2 linked regions of the Stegostoma tigrinum genome follow. The protein of the gene in region 1 purifies or fractionates together with the protein of each later gene. This does not show direct contact. Links are inferred from orthologs where the notes say so. Each region holds a gene or a part of one and is shown on either strand. Other genes may lie near its edges.

Region 1 (10,146 bases):
TTTTGCACCTTGGGGATTGCGTAGCAGGAGATGGAGAAATCAGTCATTACGTCCCGTGGGGTGATGAGTCCAGTGATGGGGCGGAGCTTGGGGATATAGGTGCGGAGCGCACCACGCTGAGGGGTGGGGTTTAGATGGGTGACGGGGCGGGGTCTGGTGCTAAAGGGGCGGGGCTTTCTTCGTTGGTGCTGCGCCCAGCACAGTGAGGGGGCGGGGCGCTTCGCTTTGTGATGGATAGTACCCGTAGCAGAGGGGCGAGGCATCGAGCCTTTTATTTTCCCTTTGGTAGGAGGCGGAGTTTGGAGGGAAGTGGGTGGTGCTATCCGCTCTATGAGGATGGTGTTTGGGAAAGGGGCGTGGACTGGATTTAGGGGTGGGCTAGGAAAGGGGCGGGCTCTAATGTTGGTGTGGGGGGTGGGGATAGCAGTCGTTTGCCGAGGCCGTGGTGAGTGGCAGTTGTGGTTTAACTAGTCATGAGGTGCTATCTTTGAACTATATTGTCATCACAAAATTGTTTCAAAGCAACTTAATGATAATAAATAATGAACGCCAAGTTAAAGGTGTAAGTGATATTAGTATTAGTGTTATTCAAATGTTTGTTGAATGAAATGAGTTTGAAGATCTGTCTTGGAGGAGAGGTAGTGAGGAATTTTAACTGACATTTTCCAGATTGCAGTGTAGGAAGATAGCACAACCATTCTCTCAATAATCTAATTTGTAGCCACCATTCCATCAGGACTAGGACTTTTCATTTAATCTTTAATGTTTCTTATTTCTCCCTGTATTGCTTTTCACCAACATTCTTTATCATGGTAAACTGGAGAATTACGTGTGAGAGAAAATCAGCAAGAAAGGTAAACTTGAGTAGTGAAAGCATATACAAGTACATAGAAAGCAAATATGTAGCTAAATTACATGTTTATCCCTTAAAATTATTTTTCTTTCAGTTGGAAAGTGACATTGATAACACCTGTATTCAGAAAGAAGAGACTAATGAGTTAAAACAGTGTGAAGCTGAACACAGCAGGCCAAGCGGCATCAGAGGAGCAGGAAAGCTGATGCTTCAGGTCCAAAGAAGGGTCTTGACCCGAAACATCAGCTTTTCAGGTCCTCCGATGCTGCTTGGCCTGCTGTGTTCATCCAGCTTCACACTGTTTTATCTCGGATTTTCCAGCGTTGGCAGTTCCTACTATCTTAGGAACTAATGATTGGTTAGTCTAACATTTCTGCCATTGAGAAATTGCTAGAAGCCATTATTATGAAGACATTTAGAAAATGGTAATACACGGGTAGAGAAAATGTGGCCTTTTGAATGGGAATTATTTGGACAATTTGTTAGTATTCTTTTAGTATTTTGTAAACAAGGTGGATAAAGGGGAACCAGTAGATGCAATGTATTTGGATTTCTAACAGGGATTCGGTAAGTCTCCATATCAGAGGTTATAGCAGAAGAGGTCATGGTGTTAGTGGTGATATATTAGCATGGATGGAGAATTGGTTGGTTAGCAATAAACAGTCAGTTAAATGGCTCATTTTTGAGGTTGATAAACTCAAAAAAGTGAATGCAACAGAGATTAGTGCTGGAGCCTCAATTATTTACAGTTTAGATTTGTTACTTGCATAGAGGAACTGACTATTGTAGCCATATTTACATGCTAGTTAGGTAGAAAAACAAATTATGAAGTGAACATAACCTGGGATCTAGATATGTTGAGTGGGTGTGCAAAAATTTGGCAAACAAAATATAATGATTGGAAATTAGGTTACCACTCTGGCAGGGAGAACGGAAAAATGGAATATTATTGACATGAAAATAAACTAATGCTGCAGTAAAGAGGGACCTGGTTGTTCTTGTACATGAATTACTAAATGTTGACATGTAAATACTGCAAGTAATGTGGAAAGCAAATAGAACTTTGGTCCTTGTTGTGAAGAAGATTGAGTATAAAAATAGAGAAATCCTGCTACACACAACAAAGCAAGGGCATCGTGGGTGTACTTACACCTTTTAAGGACTGCAGTGGTTTAGGAAGGCATCTTATTTCCTCCACTTTGAGGACAGTTATGGATGGACGACTAATGGTACTTGTATCCCATTAACTAATAATAAAAATAATTTTCAAGTCTCCTTACTTGAGAAAAGACACACCTGCTTTGGAAGCAGTTCAGAGACTGTCCATGAGGTTGATGCCTAAGAGAAAGTTTATCTTTTGAATATACTTTGAGGAGGTTGGGCCTCTACTCATTGGATTGCAGTAGAATGAGAGGTAATCTGACTGAAACATCTAAGATTGTGAGGGGGTAGAGGGTAAAGTATTGTGATACTGTTTACTTTAGGACCATGGGACTTGGTTTAAATTAGTTCTTCTACTTAAGATAGAGATGAGGATTGTTAGGCTGTGGAATTCTCTTCTAAAGAGAGTGGTGAAATCTGTGCCATTGAATATCTTGAAGGCTGAGATAAATTGATTTATAAAAGACTTAGTTAAAGAGGGCAAGCAGGAGAATGACCAACTAAAGTTACTATGAAGGATATTCCTCAATCTCTCCACTCATTTGATGCATGGTGATCCTCAGGGTAAACTGCCTACAGTTTTGTCACTAGTGAGAGAGCAACACAATGGTCCAATAGGAATGTGATGAATTTTCCTTTAATGGGGGAAAATGTGAACTTGTTCACTTTGGCAAGAAGAATATAAAAGCAGCATTTTATTAAAGTTGTGAAAGATTGCAGAGGTGTGGTACAGAGAGATCTGGGGTGTCCTGGTGTATGAATCACAAAGTGCATATGTAGGTATGACGAGTTATTCGGAAGGCATTTAGAACATTGTTATTTATTGCAAAGAAAGTGATGAATAAAAGAAAGGGTCTCTTGCCACAGTTATACAGGATATTTGTGAGACCATATCTAGAGAGCTGTATGCATTTTTAGTCTCCTTACTTTTGGCAGGAGTTGCAGGGAAAAGTAAGACAAACCTCTCTTTTGCAGAACGAAAGACTACAGATGAGTTAAAACAGGTCAGATAAGGTTCATTTAACTGATACCTGGGATATGGAGGGTTGGGCCTACAACCATAGAGTTTAGAAGAATAAAAAGTGATCCTGGTGAGACATACGAGACACTGAGATGTCTTCACTTTATGTATGCTCAAAGGATATTTCCACTTTTGGAAAGACAAGAACTAGGGGTTGCAGTTTAAAATTAAGGAGCCTTTCATTTAATATGGAGGTGAGAATTTTTCCTTTGAGGTCTTTGAAACACCCTTCCTTGGAAAACAGTGGAAGTGGAGTCATTGTTTAGTGTGTGCTATAATGTAAGAAACAATATAGCTAATTTGCACTCGGCAAGTGTCCACAAATAACAATGTGATTTTGGCAATCTTAACTGAGTGATAAAAATTGGTTTAAATGCCAGAGGTATGACTGCTCTTCTTTGAAATAGTGATATGGGATACTTTACATTGATGCAGGCAGGCATATAGAGTCTCAATGTTAGATCTCATCAAGATGGTTTCTCAGATGGTGCAGCACTCTGTTAGTACGAGATTGGAGTGCCAGCCTAAAAATATCAAGTAATCAATTCTTTTCAATAGTTGATTCAAGATGCTTTATAAAATCTGTTAGAGGCCAGACATCAATTAAAATTTGAAACAAATTGATCATGAATTTGTACAGTGAAATATGGTTACAACCAATTTAATTTGTTAGTGCTTTTTCAGTTTCAGGTGAAAGCATTTTTGTACAAATAGTATTTGCCAACTAAACAATAGAATTACATTTATAATCTTGTTGTGGAAAATGTCTTTTAAGAGCCAGTAAGTAAACAATAGCCAGAAAAGATAATAGAATTGAAAGCAGCAGATTGTGGGAGAGCTGATAAAAACCTGAGATTTGGGAAAGCGTTCCAAAGATTGTGACACAGTTGCAACATCCAACGAGTCAAACATCTAGCACTATCTCCGACCAGTGGTTATCAACCTGAATGTGAGAATTTAAACCTTGTGCTTTGCATCAATGTTAATTTAGCATCCAGTATCAAATTCCAACTGCATGTCAGCTGTGGCTTAATTGGAAGAACAACTGCTTCTGAACTGCAGGGCCAGTTTGTGGAACTCCACGGCCAGCATTCCAACACAGGACAGAAGGAATCTTTTACTTGTGATGTTAAACTGATGCTCTCTGCCTGTTTGGGTGGATGTTGTAGGCAACAAAATCAATAGCACACTATTTGCTTTGGATTACCAATTTATTATGTCACAGAAGGAGGAAACTTTTCCATCAAACTGATGCCAGTTCTCTGCAAAACAATCTAGTCAGTCCTGTTTCTCCACTCCATGCCTGTAGCCCTGAAAGTTAATATTTTTCCTATCTAATTTTTGTTAGAAATCACTGACTATCTTTGCTTCCACTGCCCACATACAGAACTAGTTTCAGTTGGTGTATAAAAGAAGTCTTTCTTAAATTTCCCTGCAAGTCTTGACAAAAACTTTAAATCCGTGTCCACTCATCCTTGTAGCATCACTGGGAACAACTTTTCTTTCTGTATTCTAAAACTGTCACAATCTTCTACGTCTCCTATAAACTCCACTCATTTGCCTATGCTTTGATAAAAATAATGAGCTTTTCCAGTCTAATAAAACTTCTCATCCTTGGAACTGTACTTGTAAATCTCTTTCACCCTCTAAGATGTTGAAATCTTTCCAAAAGTGTGGTAGTTACAACTGGATGCAATTTGTTTTTGTGGGCAAACTAGAGCTTTATAATGGTTCAACAGACCTTGACTGCTTTTGTACTTAATTTGTGAAGCCCACGATGCCATTTGCTTTGCAAACCAATCTGTCAATTTGTCCTACCACCTCCAAAGATCTATGCATCCAGATCCATCGTTTACTTTATCCAGACGCATGGTGTTGAATACTTGTATTAAAAATATCTCAATATTTTCTTCTCCAGTCTTAATTTTGCAAATTTATCCACATAATTGAGTTTTCTTATCCTTGAAGCAATTAATATTCTCTGAACTCCTCGTAATGCCTGCACATACTTCCGGAAGCATCATGTCCAAAACTGTGCGCGATACTATAGTTGAAGCCAGCTTAGTGTTCTGTGCAAATTTAATTCGCTTCCTTGCTTTTGTGCGCGATGTCTCTATTAATAAAACCTATGATGCTGTATAAAGATAACCAGGTGTAGAGCTGGATGAATACAGAGCAGGCTAAGCAGCACAAGAGGAGCAGGACGACGTTTCGGGTCTGGACCCTTCTTCAGTTCCTACTATCTGTGATGCTGTATACTTTCTTAACCGATCCCCTCACCATATTCTGCGACCTTCAATGATTTATGTACATATGTACTCAGGTTACTTAGTTCGGTAGCTCTTTGAGAACTGCATCTTTATTTGATCATATCTCCGCCTAGTCACTACCAAAATAAATAGCGTGAGTTATAAGTTCAGCGAGTTTAAGTCGTACAAGGGTTGTGAATCCGACTCTGGCGCCGCGCACAGAAGCTCTGATCAGCTGAGTTGCATTCCGTCCGAGATAGTGGGTGATGTAATCGTCGGCCAATCAAAAAACACAGCAGTGTTGAGTTACGTGACGTGAAATCGCCTCGCCTCCAACGTTCGGTTGACGTGATGACGTTACAGCCCGGTTACCCGGGGTGACGTCGGTTCCAAAACATCACGGATGTCTGCTACGATTGGTCCGACGCCTGAGCCCGAGCGGCGGCCAATGAGGGGAGCGAGCGGGCGCGAGTTGCGGAGTGACGTTTTAAATATCCCAGCAAACTTTGTCCGATGTTGTCTTTGCCGTCGCCATTAGAGTCGAACGGAGGAGCCTGAGAAAAGGAAGGAAAAAAAAATGTCATAAGAACAAAAAGGAAGAGGAGGCTTGGGGAGGAGGGGGGGGGGGGTGGGAGAAGGGTAGAAGCTGGAGGTCGCTAGTCGGACGGGGGTGAGGTGCGACGGGAGTGAGTCGGGGCGGAGGGGGTGGGATTTCTTTTTATTTGACCCGGCCACCATGTAAGGGAAAGAGCGGCGGGGGCTGCGGGGGAGGGGTGGGGAGGGGGGGAAAGTAGAGAGAAGTGAGATCGTCTGGAACGGCGGCGGTGGAGGAGAAGGTCTGTTTGTTGTATGCAGTCCCTCTGACACTGAATGTAAATGAAAGAGATGGGGTACCGACGGCGGCGGTGGAATGGAGGTGCAGCCCCAGCGCAGCTGAATGTCAGGCCAGTGCCTGAGATCTGGAATTAGGTAACTGTTGGTCGTCAGTCACACAGAAAAAAGCACCGCAGCTCTTTTCCGCGCTCTTTAGTTATTCTGCCCGGAGTGGCAGAGAAGCATTCTTGTCCGCAGCCCAGCGTGGATCGGTGCAGGTCCGCTCCTTTGGAAGTTAGTGTTAAGACAAATCTGCATGCTCCTTTAACAGCAGCTCTGTTGACGTGTTGTGTAGTCTTGGGTTCAGCCCAACCACCCGATTAGGTAAAGGTGCACGTAGGCTTTTCAGAAGTTTATCCCAAGCAGTTATGAAGCCGGTACATTGAAGTTCGGAGGTGGTGGGGCCACGAAAAGAGTCGATTGCCTCCTTTGTATTGTGCGTGAAGAAATCTAGTTTTCTCTTTACATCTTGTTCAGAACCTGAACTTTGATACTATTACAACAGGCTGGATATCTATTCGAACAAATAGTAGCTTTCTAAAGATAAAACTCATGTTCTGATGCAAGATGAGATTCGTACTGTATCTGTCTTGGCATAGCTTTCTGTTTTTCTGGGGTTCTGTTTCCAATTGCATTTTATCCGGACCCAGCGCTACGTTTGTGGAGCTTAGAGATCGAATGTTTGAAAACAGATCTCTACAAACAAGAAATCAAAGTACATTTCGTTATTATTGTTGAAACCCTTATTTTTATGGCCCAATCTCCATGACCAAAAAGTAAAGCATTTCGACGTGATTTTTGTAAGTTTTTTTTGTAACGTGGCTGCCATTCCATATCTATTAATGGAATCTTTCTTGAGTGCCGCTTGTTGACTCTCGTTTGTTTACAGTTGTAGTCCAATGGGAGATTTTTGTTCAAAATTGGTGGGTTGTTAAATAAATTAAAATCCTTTTTGAATATGAACCATAATTTATCAAATTTTTTTGCTTTCCCCATCATCATCATCATCATCATCATCATCATCATTAAATTCAGAATTGCAGTTCAGTTATTGCAGAGTGGCAGTTTTTATTTCAACACTGCATAATTCTGTTTTGAACGCTACATTCTCACATTGTACTTGTCAATAATTTGGATTTAGCAATAAGCAATTATTTTAGCCACATAATTTAGGGACTGTTTGACACTTAGCTTAGTCATCAACCGGAAGGCTCTAAGGCATTGAGGTTGTGTAGCCAGCAGGTGTAATTTTTTTTCTTGATAAAGGCTACAACTGTTAGCTCCTCTCTTCTCTCCCCCCCCCCCACTGATTAATATCTTGGATTAATTAGGTATATTCAGCTTCTTGCTAATAAATGAACTCTTGGCTCTGCTGTCTTAGAGTTTTGCTTTAATATTAGACTGTGAAGCATGTACTTCTCTTGTAGCATTAATTGTTGAACTTTTTACAGGGTTGTGTAGTGATGAAGTGTAATGTTTTCAGCCATCAGGGATTTGTGAAGTGAAAACTGTACAGAATAGTGTGTTTATTTTTAGGTTTACATTATTATCGACGAAATTCAGCCTAATCAAAACATTTTGAATTTGGATGTTGAATTGTAAAGCCCCATACAAGAAGACTGATTTGAATATTCAGTAACGGGTGTGTGTATTTAGTGTGTTCTGTGCATAGTGATTATATTGGATTAAAAGTTTCGTTGTTGGATTGAATTTTTTTGATCAGGATATTACTACCTTTAATGACTTTCTTTTGTTAATAGAGTGGTGAGAATTATAGTTATCTTTCTTATCCCTAGCCCGGAAAGTGAAGTGAACAATCTGTGAAACTGTACTTTTCTCTAACAATAGCCACAAATACAGCATCGATTTGGCTAACAATGTCTGAAAGATTTACTCTTGCATGCTAAGTTTTGAATGAATTTTATCAGAGTTGTGGCCTGCTTAGTCATGTCATACCTGGTTGGTTAGTACCACCTATAAAAAGTTTGGTGGAAAATTGCTGACACAACTAAGGCAGGAGTAAAGTTTGTTTGGAGGTAAATTTTGTAATTTTGTAAAATCTTGCAAAACTGTATTAAATCAAGTGCATTGTAACTGCTTTCTTTAAAAGGAAGGATTTTGTAAGCATACAACCAGTGATTCTGTAGTTTTATGGAATAGCTTTAGTTAATGTAGACCAGAGTTTTGGATTTTATGGGATTCCAAAAAAAAATTAGTTTATAATAGTTTATGCTGAGTTTTGAAATACATAAATATGTCTACAAATTTTATTTCTTCTGCCAAATGCCTTTGTGTACTTGGAGTGGATCTCCGCTGTTTCCATTTGGTTTTGTTGATTGTCTCAAATATACTGCAGTTATTAGATGACAGCAGAGCTAGCAAGTACATCCGTCATACTTGCTACTGTGTTTAATTTATATCTATTTGAAAATTAACTTCTTTGAAACAAAAAGTCGTCATATGAAGATGTCAATGTTCATGGGAAGTAGGAAGTTCAGTTATTTTGAGTGATCAAAATTTGGGAGTGCAGTCAAATTTTTCTTCTAGACTGAGGATGCAAGGTTATTTATCAAATTTGCTGCAGATTCCAAAATTTAAGGAGTAGCAATACTATTGTAGTTGCAGAATGAGAGGAAACCTGATGATTTAGAATATTGTACGAATTCCAAAGCACTAAACAAAAGTTAATGAACATCTCTCAATGCACTGAGATCTACTATAAAATGACGTGCTAAAGCACGTATAATATGGATGTGTGTTGAGCCCCACATTTTTTATGAGTAGAATTTGTCTAGTGTGATATTAAAACGTGTTAAGATAGGAAAGTTACTAACACACTTGAAGTTGGGACCCCACTATAACATTGTTCCTGTGTGTAAGCTATTAACCTGGGCCACTGTCCTTTTTGGAACAGTAATTTGCTAGATATTCTGTTTTGTAGTTTTACTCAAGTGTACAGGTCCTTTGATTTCCACTACTGTGTGCTTTAATTATCTGTTAGAATTTTTAAAAAAGTGGAGAATACCATATACACTTGTAACAAATGTCTATCTTTTTATAATTCAGGTATATGACTCCATTTCTGTGGTACTCTGGTGACCTCCATTTACAGACCATTTCTTAAGTAATGGTCATGATCAGCAATGGGCTTCTTGAAAGGGTAGCAGAAGCAGAATTTAATTAACTTTCAGAAAAGGATTATATGCTTAAATCAAAGGGCAGGAATGTTGCTTAGACAAGGGGAAAAGAGGAGAGGGAGTAATTGGATAGCCCTTTGGAGCTGGCAAGGGTGCGTGGCTGAACGACTTCCCTCTGTGCAGTATGATTCCATGATTATTTACTTGGTTGGCCCTGGTAAATGAGCAGCAGTCAACCATAAACTGATGGTAGTTCTTGAAAATGTTGGACTTTCTCTTGGTTCTTCATTTTTAAATAGAAATTTTCCAGTTCTCTCTCTTTTTTAATTGTTCGTTCTCAGGATGTGGGCGTCAATGGAAAGGCTGGCATCTTCCCATCCCTAGTTGTCTTGAGAAGGTGGTTTTGAACCACCTCCTTGAACCGAGTGATGTTCTAGTCCATTTCAGCGGGCAGTTAAGAATTGGTATGGAACTGGAATCACTTATAGGCCAGACCAGGTAAGGTGAGCAAGGTTTCCTTCCCTCTGAGGGCATTAGTGAAACCTGTTGGGTTTTCATTGGCAATCCAAATAGCTTAACAGTCATTCTTTCTTTTAAACTCATAACCAGCCTGGGTAATATAACATACTTAATTTATTAAATACAGATGATTTATGTAAATTGTGCAAAAGAATGTTATATATACACTTATTCTTGACATTTGCATCCAATTAGCTTTTTTCTCATGGATGCGTGGTTTCCTTCTCATAAACTAGTGAGGGAATAAGCATAGATGAACTGATTCCACACTAATGGATTTTGTAATGAGTTCTGGAGTTGGTTTTCCAGAGTGCACAGAGTCTTAACTGTAGT
Region 2 (9,467 bases), on another chromosome or scaffold:
TAGATCCCTCAAAGCTGCCACCCCAGTTGACAGAGTATTAAGAAGGTGTATGGTGTGTTGGCTTTCATTGGCAGGGGTATTGAGAATAAGACGTTAGGTGAGGTTTTGCGCAGCTTTATAAAACCCTGGTTAGATCACACTTGGAATATTGTGTTCACTTTTGATTAGAGAGGGTGCAGTGGAGATTTACCAGGATGCAGGAGGGTAGGTGTTATGAAGAAAGGTTGAGGGAGCTAGGACTTTTCTCATTAGACCAATGAAGGATGAGAGGTGACTTGATATAGATGTACAAGATGATGAGAGACATAGATAGAGTGGATAGCTAGACACTTCTTCCCAGAGTGGAAATTACTATTACAAGGGGCATAATTTTAAGGTGATTGGAGGAAGGTATAGGGGAGATATCAGAGGTGGGTTATTTTCACTGTGAATGGTGGGTGTGTGGAATGTACTGCTGGCAGATACATTAGGGACATTTAACTGACCTTGGATAGGCATTTGGCTGATTGTAAAATATAGGGTATGCAGGGTAGTTTGATCTTAGAGTAGGTCGGCACAACACATGAGCCAAAAAGCCTGTACTGTGCTGTACTGTTCTATGTTCTAAAATGAAATTGGAGGATGAGATAAATCACTTTATTGCCCTTGGTGCCCATGTCTCTCTAAAGGCATCAAGAGCTTTGATGGACACCACATACTCCTTCTCCAATGATATTCAGACATGAATGTAACTGTGGAAGAGGGGCCTGCTTTTTTTTTCTTTTTTCACTCAACAACAGCCCCTCCTCCGTTGGTAAGGTGTTTATTTATTTAAAATTGATGATGGAGAAGCTGATTTAGTGAAGAAACTGTCAACAAGTTCTCTTTCAATGCATGCTTTTGAATTTCAGGATTGTCTCAATCACTGCAGATATGTCTGTCATCTTTAAAAGCTTGAAGTTTTTTTATTATAATCGTTTGGAGTTCAACACAGCTAGATATTTTTCTGAATATTCAGCAGTGAGTTCTGTTAACAAATTTGTGGGCAAAAAGACATATTTCCAGTAAATTAAAGGAAAAATATGACTGTCAGGCAAGGCTGGGATTCTTTTCAGTGTCTCCTTTGAGTGATGGGGTTGAAATATTGGTTGCAAAAATGTCTGGCTGTTGGTGAACAGAGAAGAGCGTGTGGCCTGCCCTTCCAGGGTCTGCTTTATTAATTTTTAAAATTTAACCTATTTTTCTAATCATCCTGTTCAGAGATGTCATTACATGCCTCTGGAGCAGGTGGGAGTTCAACCTGAGCCTCCTGGCTGAAAGGTAGTGATACTACCATTACAAAACAGCTCTCTGCAAACTGTCGCAGCATAACCTGAACCTGCAATCTTCTGCCAATACCCTGGTTAATACTGAAGTCAGACATCTTATTCACTAGACTGAGCAACTACCTTAAATAAATGCTGAAATGGGAGAATGCAAGAATGAGACAGACCGATAGACTTACTGAAACAGTGAGGTTCAGGCAATGACTTTCAGCTGGGTCAGTCGTTGCCTGTTACCGAGGGAACTTGTACTCAACAAGCTCCGATAGGAGATTAATTACTGATTCCCCACCGACCTTTTGGGAATTATCATAAAGATTTTGAGTATTTGCTGCTGCAGATATTCCTCAATATGGAAAGATAGTAACACTGTTGGTGCAGAGTAACTGTCTGATGATGGCTTGGTGCATCTTTGTCTTGGAACTCAGACGAACAAGGCTGTAAAGAGACAGTTTCTGTGAATATCCTGAAGGCATACTCCAGGAGCAAAGTGAGGAATGAATATGCCAAGGACTGTCGGTGCCAGAACACCAACTGCACTATGTATTGATGTTGTTCTGTTATGTAGTTGATCTTACCCATTGTATTGTCATGGTTGAGATCACATTGAACAATTTTGGATGGCAGCTTGAATGGACTGTCTCTGTCCACGTGGCTGAATGCATTTATAAGATCAATGAAGGCAATGCACAATGGTCTCCTTTGTTATTGTGTTGCTATTGCAGTTGCTGGACTGAGAAGTTCATGACAACTGTCGAAATTCCAGTTCTGAAAAATACTAGGATTTGAGGTAAATGGATTCAGCAGGAACTACTGTCTGTCAAGGGCAACAATAGCCAAATACTTTGCTCAAGATGTTGAACAAGAAGCTGCCATGCAAATTTTTGCAATTCTGCTGTTGCCCCATTTCTGCAGCAGAGGCAAGAGAAGTTATCACAGTTGCTGCAAGAGTACCAGTTTCTCATATTTTATGAGTTCATATGGTACACTATCAGTACTTGCAACTTTGCCCATGGCAAATGAATTAATGTTCAGTATATTATGGAAAAAATTATACATTGAATATTAACTCCACTTTCCCTAAGGGCCACCAGTGAACTGGATGGGGTTTTCCTGACAACCAGCAATGAATTCATGGTCATCACTGGACTCTTAATTTCAGTTCTGTTCTTAATTGAACTCAAATTCTATCATCTGTCATGGTGGGATTCAAATGCAGATCCCTGGAACATTACCTGGGTCTCTGAATTAACAGTTCAGTGATAATACCACTAGGGCATTACATCCCCTAATTGGGCTCCAACAAGCATGACCATCTTCCTGTGTGCTACGTATGATCCCAACCAGTGCAGAATATTTCTCCTGATTCCCATTGACTTTAAATTTGATGTCACACTCAAGCAAACACTGCCTTGATTTTATCCCCTCCTTAGTTCAGTTCTTTTGCCCATGTTTGGACCAAGGCTGCAATGAAGGCAGCAGCTGAGGAGTCCTGGTGAACCACAAAATAATAATGTGAGCAGGTTACTGCAGTGTAAATGCTGCTTGATAACACTGTTGCAAACCTTTCCATTATTTTGGTGATAATTGAAAGATGGTTGATGGCGTGGCAACTGGCCAGATTGGATTTGTACGGCTTTTTGTGGACAGGTCATATTTGGACAGTTTTCCACATTGTCAGCTAGATGCCAGTGTACAGCTACACTGAACGGCTAAACTACAGATGTGGTTAGTTCTGGAGGTTAAGTCTCCAGTTCCAATGCTGGAATATTGACAGGGCAGTTAGATGTCAGACTTCTATCAGTTAGCACTTTCCTAGTGTTGCTTTCCATATTTTGAGAGTGCATATCGTTGATGGAATGTTTCATTTTATTTTGGTGTTCATTGTGGAAATGCTGGTGAATGCGTGTTGTGTTGAGGAACTGTTGGTTTTTACATGGTGGGCAAAATGTTTGATCTTGATACAAAGGCAACATTTCTGCTTTGAAGAAAAGCTTCAAGGGTTCCATCCACTGGGTCACACCAGAATGTCTCCAGGACGCTGTACCCTGGATGTCTCCTGGCAACATTATGGTATGGCTTGTTCTGAAAGGTGTTGAAAAGCTTGTGACAGTGGTGAAGCTTAATTTGTTTCTGTCTGTTTTCATATACCTTTCAGAGACAGCAGGGCCATGTCTTATGGTCTGCATCCCCTCTTGCACTGAAATCCCCAGTGGATGAAGATATCCTGACTTGGGGATTCTTCTGACAGTGTCTCGCTCCTCACAGAACTTGTCTTTCACCTCTGTCATGGAGCACAGATGCCCATGAAGTTAACAGACCCTGCTTGAGTTCAGAAGCGGATGCGGAGAATATATTTTGAACTAACTGGAGTGAGTTCCATCACCAAAATTAATAATTACCTAACAACAAAACCTACACCAGACGCATAAACCTGCTCTGAACTCTTCCCTATCAGATGAATATGTTTTTCTTTCAGTGATCCACTCTTTGTGAATATGGTGTCTTGGAGGGAAGCTGTGTTGATATTCTGTCCAAGTTCCACATGAATCACTGTTGTCTTCTGCATTTTATCATCAGCTGCAAGTTGTCTGTTGGCACTTGGTTCTGACATTCAAGCCTACTAACAGAATAGTTTGTGTCTTTTTTCTTTTCATGTTTTTCACTTGTTTGCCTGGTATGATAGATTCCACTTGCTTGTTGAGCAAGAGCTATTAGACGTAAGCCCCCTTTGAAGCAGATGGACCTGTGGCAAGTCAGCAGCTCATTATTTGGGAACTGCCCAACTTGAAGTGAACGGTGCTTTTCTTAGCAGCATAGAATGCACCTTCTGACCTCAGCTGACAGCTAGAGCTTTCTATGGCAATGAAATTGGCCTTATCACTTGTAACTGGTGTTTCCAATGTTATGTTAATATTCCACGGAGCACTGGAGACATCCTCTTCTGCACAAAACGTACGAAGACCCAGAGCAGCCCAAAGATCCGGGTTCAACTCCTTAGTTGATTCTAAAGGAATACAGAGCGTATTGTTTGATACTCGTTTGGTTGCGGGAGTAACTGGAAAATGACCAACGTAGTATCACTCTGTCTTTGGCTGTACTAGATTTTAAATAATGTTTTGCTCCCTTTGCCTTAACCTCTCCTGTGGTATTTAAAAGGTTGCAGGGTTATTCACCCATTGCTGGAATTTGATTCACAAATACCAATACCAAATACCACTGGGTTAATGCTCAACTTTTTCTCAACGTTTTCTCAAGATAACTGTTTACGAATAACCAACAGTATGATTTAGGAAATGGGTGGAGGGGTGAATGTTGGCTGGGCATTCCTACACCACTTTGAAAAAGTGCCCTTGTACGTATTTTATTCAGCTAAATAGCATCTGAAAAGCTCATGAAAAACAGTACATGTTTTAGAGTCGTATATAAGCCATGTCTTTCTAAGGCTGAGTCAAAAGAGATACCTTGAAAGGAACAAGTCATCGCAAGATAACAAAGTGTGAAGCTGGATGAACACAGCAGGCCCAGCAGCTTCTCAGGAGCACAAAAGCTGACGTTTCGGGCCTGGACCCTTCATCAGAGAAAATGCTTGGCCTCACCTGAGACATTTCTCAAGTATTGTCACGCCTGCACTGTAGGAAGTATGGCAGCTAATTTGCACACAGCAAATCTGCACAAAAACAGCAATGACAACGGTCAGATGATATGATTTTGTGGTGTTCGTTGTGAGATAAACGCCTCTCTCGATCTACCTCGAAATGATGAGAAGCGATCCGTTCATTTGTGCGTCCGTCGTCGAAACTCACCTTAACGGCAGATGAAACTGTCCTTCTGCCAACAGGCCCGCAGAGAAACCCTCCGAGAACACCACACCACTCCACAGCCTCAAATGAAAAACATGTTTTGTTTTTCACGGCTCCAGCGACGAAATTAATTCAACGGTCACAAGGTGTTTTTTTTTAAAAAAGACTCACCCATCATGTATTTCGAAAGGAGGTGAAATGTGGTTGTTTGTTTTATATCTAATTTCTCCAAGATTAAACATAACCACACGGAGAGACGTACAAGGTTTGACGTTTGTGAGAGGCCGCGGCGTTTCAGTGTCGCTCCCTAGGTAAAGGGGAGGAACGGACACTCCTACTCCTCCTCCTCCTCCCTCTGCATTCGGTGCCTGGAGCTCCGGTTTCGGTCCCACGACCAGGAGGTGCTCTCGGCCCCTTGTTCTTGAACACTTCGGCCAGCCTGGCGGCGGCGGCGGGGGAGAGGAGAGTGAGGGGAAAGGATATGATGCCGCGGTGTCTCTCGAGCCGCCGATAGCCAGAGCCGGTGAGTGGAGGTACATTGCCGCCGTCGTCGAGAACGGGACGAGGAGTCGCTTTCGGGGCCAGCCGGCTTTGATGACGCTAGGCCTTACGGTCAGAATCCAGGCGCTAGCCCAGGGGAAGTCGGCCGCAACGGACTGCTCTGTCTTACCCTGTTCCTTTCCCCCGCCCCCCCCCAATCATCATCATCATCATCATCATCATCTCCGGGTCAGGCCGAGTCTCTTTGTGTGTCCGCCCGGGCGGTAGGCTGAAGCGAGGCCCAGGCCTCTCCGGTTTAAGTGGGCCTCGTCGGCCACGGTCACTACCTTCGAGCGCCCCGCCCCGGGGTTGACCGGACCGGGCAGCCTGGGGCCTGCGTCTCTGTCCCCGTGAGGCGGCTGTTGAGTCTCATCGGCCTGGGCCTGGACAATACTGATCCGCCAGCTTTAGGCCGAATATGTTTAAATGGCGGCTCCTGAGCGGGCAAGTGCGTTAGTTTCGGGTGGAAATCGCTTGCCCAAACTTTCTCAGGTTATTTATTTCATGGAAGGTCGAGGGGATGGTTTAGAGTGGGGGAATTGATGATGAACTGAAATAACATGCACAAAAAAGAATCCGTTAACGTGTACTTTCTTTTATTTTTTGGCTAGATTCTTTCGGACCAGTTGTGGAAAACACGGTGATCTCTCTTCCCAGGGACTTTCCCACCAGCCTCCCAGTTTTAGGAGGACATTAGTGGGGATAACTGTCAGGGATTTAAGAGGTCTATCTCATCATGGCCGATGTGGATCCCGATACCTTGTTGGAATGGCTACAAATGGGCCAGGGAGACGAGAGGGACATGCAGCTTATAGCCTTGGAGCAGCTGTGCATGTTACTTCTCATGTCCGATAATGTGGATCGTTGTTTTGAAACGTAAGTTTTCTTTTAATTTTGTCGTCGGTCGTTTTCTGTTGACTTGACTTTTGCCGGATCCCAACTTCGATTGGGGCTGTTTTTTTTAATATTTGCTCTTAATTTCAAGAATTGTGCGTTGGTAGTTATTTTAATCGTATCTCTAAGTGACGCATTAGAAGGGAGAACAAGGTTATGAAGTACCCAGGGATTTCACAATGTTTCAGATCTGCGTTCCGATGGCTTCAACAAAGTTTATATTTTACGAACACAACCGCAGAGATATTGTGCGTGCTCTGCAGAGCAAGTGGCTGCCCAAGGGAAATGGATGTGATTACACGCCGAATTGCTTTTAGGTTGGGAACAGCAATGAGTTATGTGACATACTTAATACCTTGGAAGACAGGAGTTCTTGTGGTATTAAACATTGTTAGAAACATGGGCTGTGTTTTTAAGGGTCACTTCTGATATTGATTCAATCAGAAAGTTTGGAAATATGGATTTCCTGACAGTTGATATGCATAACCTCTTCTGGCTAGATTCAGATCCATCGCTGTTAAAATGGCAACGATATTCATTCACCTTAATAGTCGTAGTCATACAACACAGAATCAGACCCTTTGGTCCAACTGCTCCACGCCAACCAGATATCCCAATCTGACCTAGTCTCATTGGCCAGCATTTGGCCCATATCCCTCTAAATCCTTTGTACTCAAACACCCATCCAGCTATTTAAATGTTGCAATTGTACCCATCTCCTCCACTTCCTTTGGCTACCCTATGCATGAGAAAGTTGCCCCTTGGGAGCTTTTAAAATCTTTTCTGCCCTCACCTTGAATGTGTTCCCTCTCATTTTGGACTCTCATAGGAAAAAGATTTTGGCTGTTCGCCCTATACGTGCTCCTCATGACGTCATAAACCTCGATAAGGTCAACCCTCAGGCTCTGACTTGAAGGAATTGCTGAGGATCACAAAGGCTTGGAGGGCACTCTTGGTCCTGAATCTCTGATTGCATTTTGTTGAAAGAAGAAATAAAAAAACATAGTTGACTTTGTTCCATCAATCTACCTGTCACAGATGAACCTGTCCATGACAGGCTTAGTATGAGTGGCCATCACACAATCCTCTGGGAGATCAATTTCCATCTTAATACTGAGGAAACTCCCCATATGCTGTATGACACGAGTACCAAGCTAAATGGGGTAGAGTCTTTAGAGGTTTGGTGCCTGAAAATAAAATAGTAAGCAAACACTCTCGGCCATTGATAGCAACAGAACTATCTACCGGAAACTATAAAACTGAAAAGTCATAAGAAATAAGAACAGAAGTTGGATGGTTTGGCTCCTCAAGCCTGCTCTGCCATTCAGCAGGATGATAGCTGATTCGGCATTTCTCATATCCACTTTCCTGCCCTTTCCTCATAACTCTCAATTCCTCTACTGATTTATCTCCGCATTAAGTACATGCACAATGACTTTGCGCCCACAGCTGCCTGTAGCAAGCAGTTCCAAAGGCTGTCAACCCTCTGAAAGAAGAAATTCCTCCATCTCTGAATTTTAAATGGACACCCCTTTATTCAGAGACAATGCCGTCGGGTTCCAGATTGTCCCATGTGGGAAACATCCTTTCATTATTTACTCTGTCAACCCCCTTTAGAATCCTCAGAGATAGTAACAACTGCCAGTGCTGGAGTTAGAGATAACCGTGTGGAGCTGGAGGAACACAGCAAGCCAAGCAGCGTCGGAAGAGGAGGAAAAGAAGGGTCCTGACCAGAAACATCAACTATGCCTACTTCTCTGCTGCCTGGCCTCCTGTGTTCTTCCAGCTCCACAGTGTTATCCCTTCAGAATCCAATATGTTTCATTGAGATCCCACTCTCATTCTTTTAAACTCTAGTGAGTAGAAACATAGCCTATTTAACCTTTGCCCATGAGACTTAACCTTTTGTAAGGTATGATGACAGATATCTTCTGGAAGTCCAAATACAACACATGTACTGGTTTCCCTCTATCCTCTCGAGTTGAGATTTTCTCAAACGTCTAATAAAATTAGTTAGATATGATTTCCCTTTTGAAGTGATGCTGACCCTGCCTGGTTAAACTCTGATTTTCCAGTGTGCTGCTGTTATTTTGAAAAATTAATACTGATACACCAACGGTCTCTGTAGCTGCTACTTTTAGGATCCTAGGATGCAAACCATCAAGGCCAGGGTACTCATCTGCCTTTAGCATTGTTAGCTTTTCCATTACTACTACTCTGGTGATGGCGATGATAGTGAATTCCTCCCCTGTATTCTTTTGCATTAATGGGTTGTCTGTGGTATTTTCCACTGTGAAGAGTGATGTAGAATATCAGTTTAACTCTTCTGTCATTTCCTTATTCCTCAACTATTTCACCAGCTTCATTTCCTAAGGGGTCCTTGACCTGACTCTCTGTCTCCTTTTTACATATTTAAATAAGTTCATGTCAACTTTTGGATGTTTGCTAGTTTGCCCACCCGTTTTGTTTTCTCTATTATGTTTTTAGCTTTTTTTTTTGGTGTTTAGCATATCCCTCACAAAGCATTGCTATTAAGTTACTTAATAGGAACAGAAGATGGAAAGTTTAAGTTTTTTTTTCAAAAAGGCTAACCTGGTGGAGCAACAACTCAAGATTACAAGCATGCTAAACAGCAGAAGCTATTTACAGAGCCAAGTGATCCCAAACAATCCCACTGCTGTATCCACTTGCAATTGGTGGGCAACAGTTAGAGATTAACCATTGAAGCCTCCACTTACCTCTTCCAATAGCAAAGCTTAGCACATTGGTATGAAAAACAAAGCTGAAGTATTTGCAATGATCACCATGAAGACAAAAAACAAAAACAGAACTAATAAGTGTGAAGTTTCTCTGTAAACTAAACAGCTATGGAGAGAGATCACGAGAAAGGAAAATGGAGGCATGTGAAGCAAAAACAAATTTGCTGGGC

The links.
Region 2: the proteins of ubiquitin thioesterase ZRANB1 (region 1) and hectd1 purify together in Homo sapiens (affinity purification with mass spectrometry; 5 studies listed by BioGRID and IntAct, with this or other methods). This does not show direct contact. The link is inferred for Stegostoma tigrinum from reciprocal best matches to the Homo sapiens genes ZRANB1 and HECTD1.

Annotation. Positions count from the first base shown.
Region 1 is NC_081373.1:30,892,469-30,902,614, forward strand, and holds the start of ubiquitin thioesterase ZRANB1, read left to right. Parts: upstream 1-6,068; 5' UTR 6,069-6,253; intron 6,254-6,287; exon of another isoform or gene 6,288-6,391; intron 6,392-6,423; exon of another isoform or gene 6,424-6,957; intron 6,958-9,635; 5' UTR 9,636-9,797; intron 9,798-10,146. UniProt on the Homo sapiens protein: Ubiquitin thioesterase, which specifically hydrolyzes 'Lys-29'-linked and 'Lys-33'-linked diubiquitin. Also cleaves 'Lys-63'-linked chains, but with 40-fold less efficiency compared to 'Lys-29'-linked ones.
Region 2 is NC_081363.1:60,979,602-60,989,068, forward strand, and holds the start of hectd1 (E3 ubiquitin-protein ligase HECTD1), read left to right. Parts: upstream 1-5,345; 5' UTR 5,346-5,637; intron 5,638-5,846; exon of another isoform or gene 5,847-6,136; intron 6,137-6,255; 5' UTR 6,256-6,380; coding exon 6,381-6,520; intron 6,521-9,467. UniProt on the Homo sapiens protein: E3 ubiquitin-protein ligase which accepts ubiquitin from an E2 ubiquitin-conjugating enzyme in the form of a thioester and then directly transfers the ubiquitin to targeted substrates.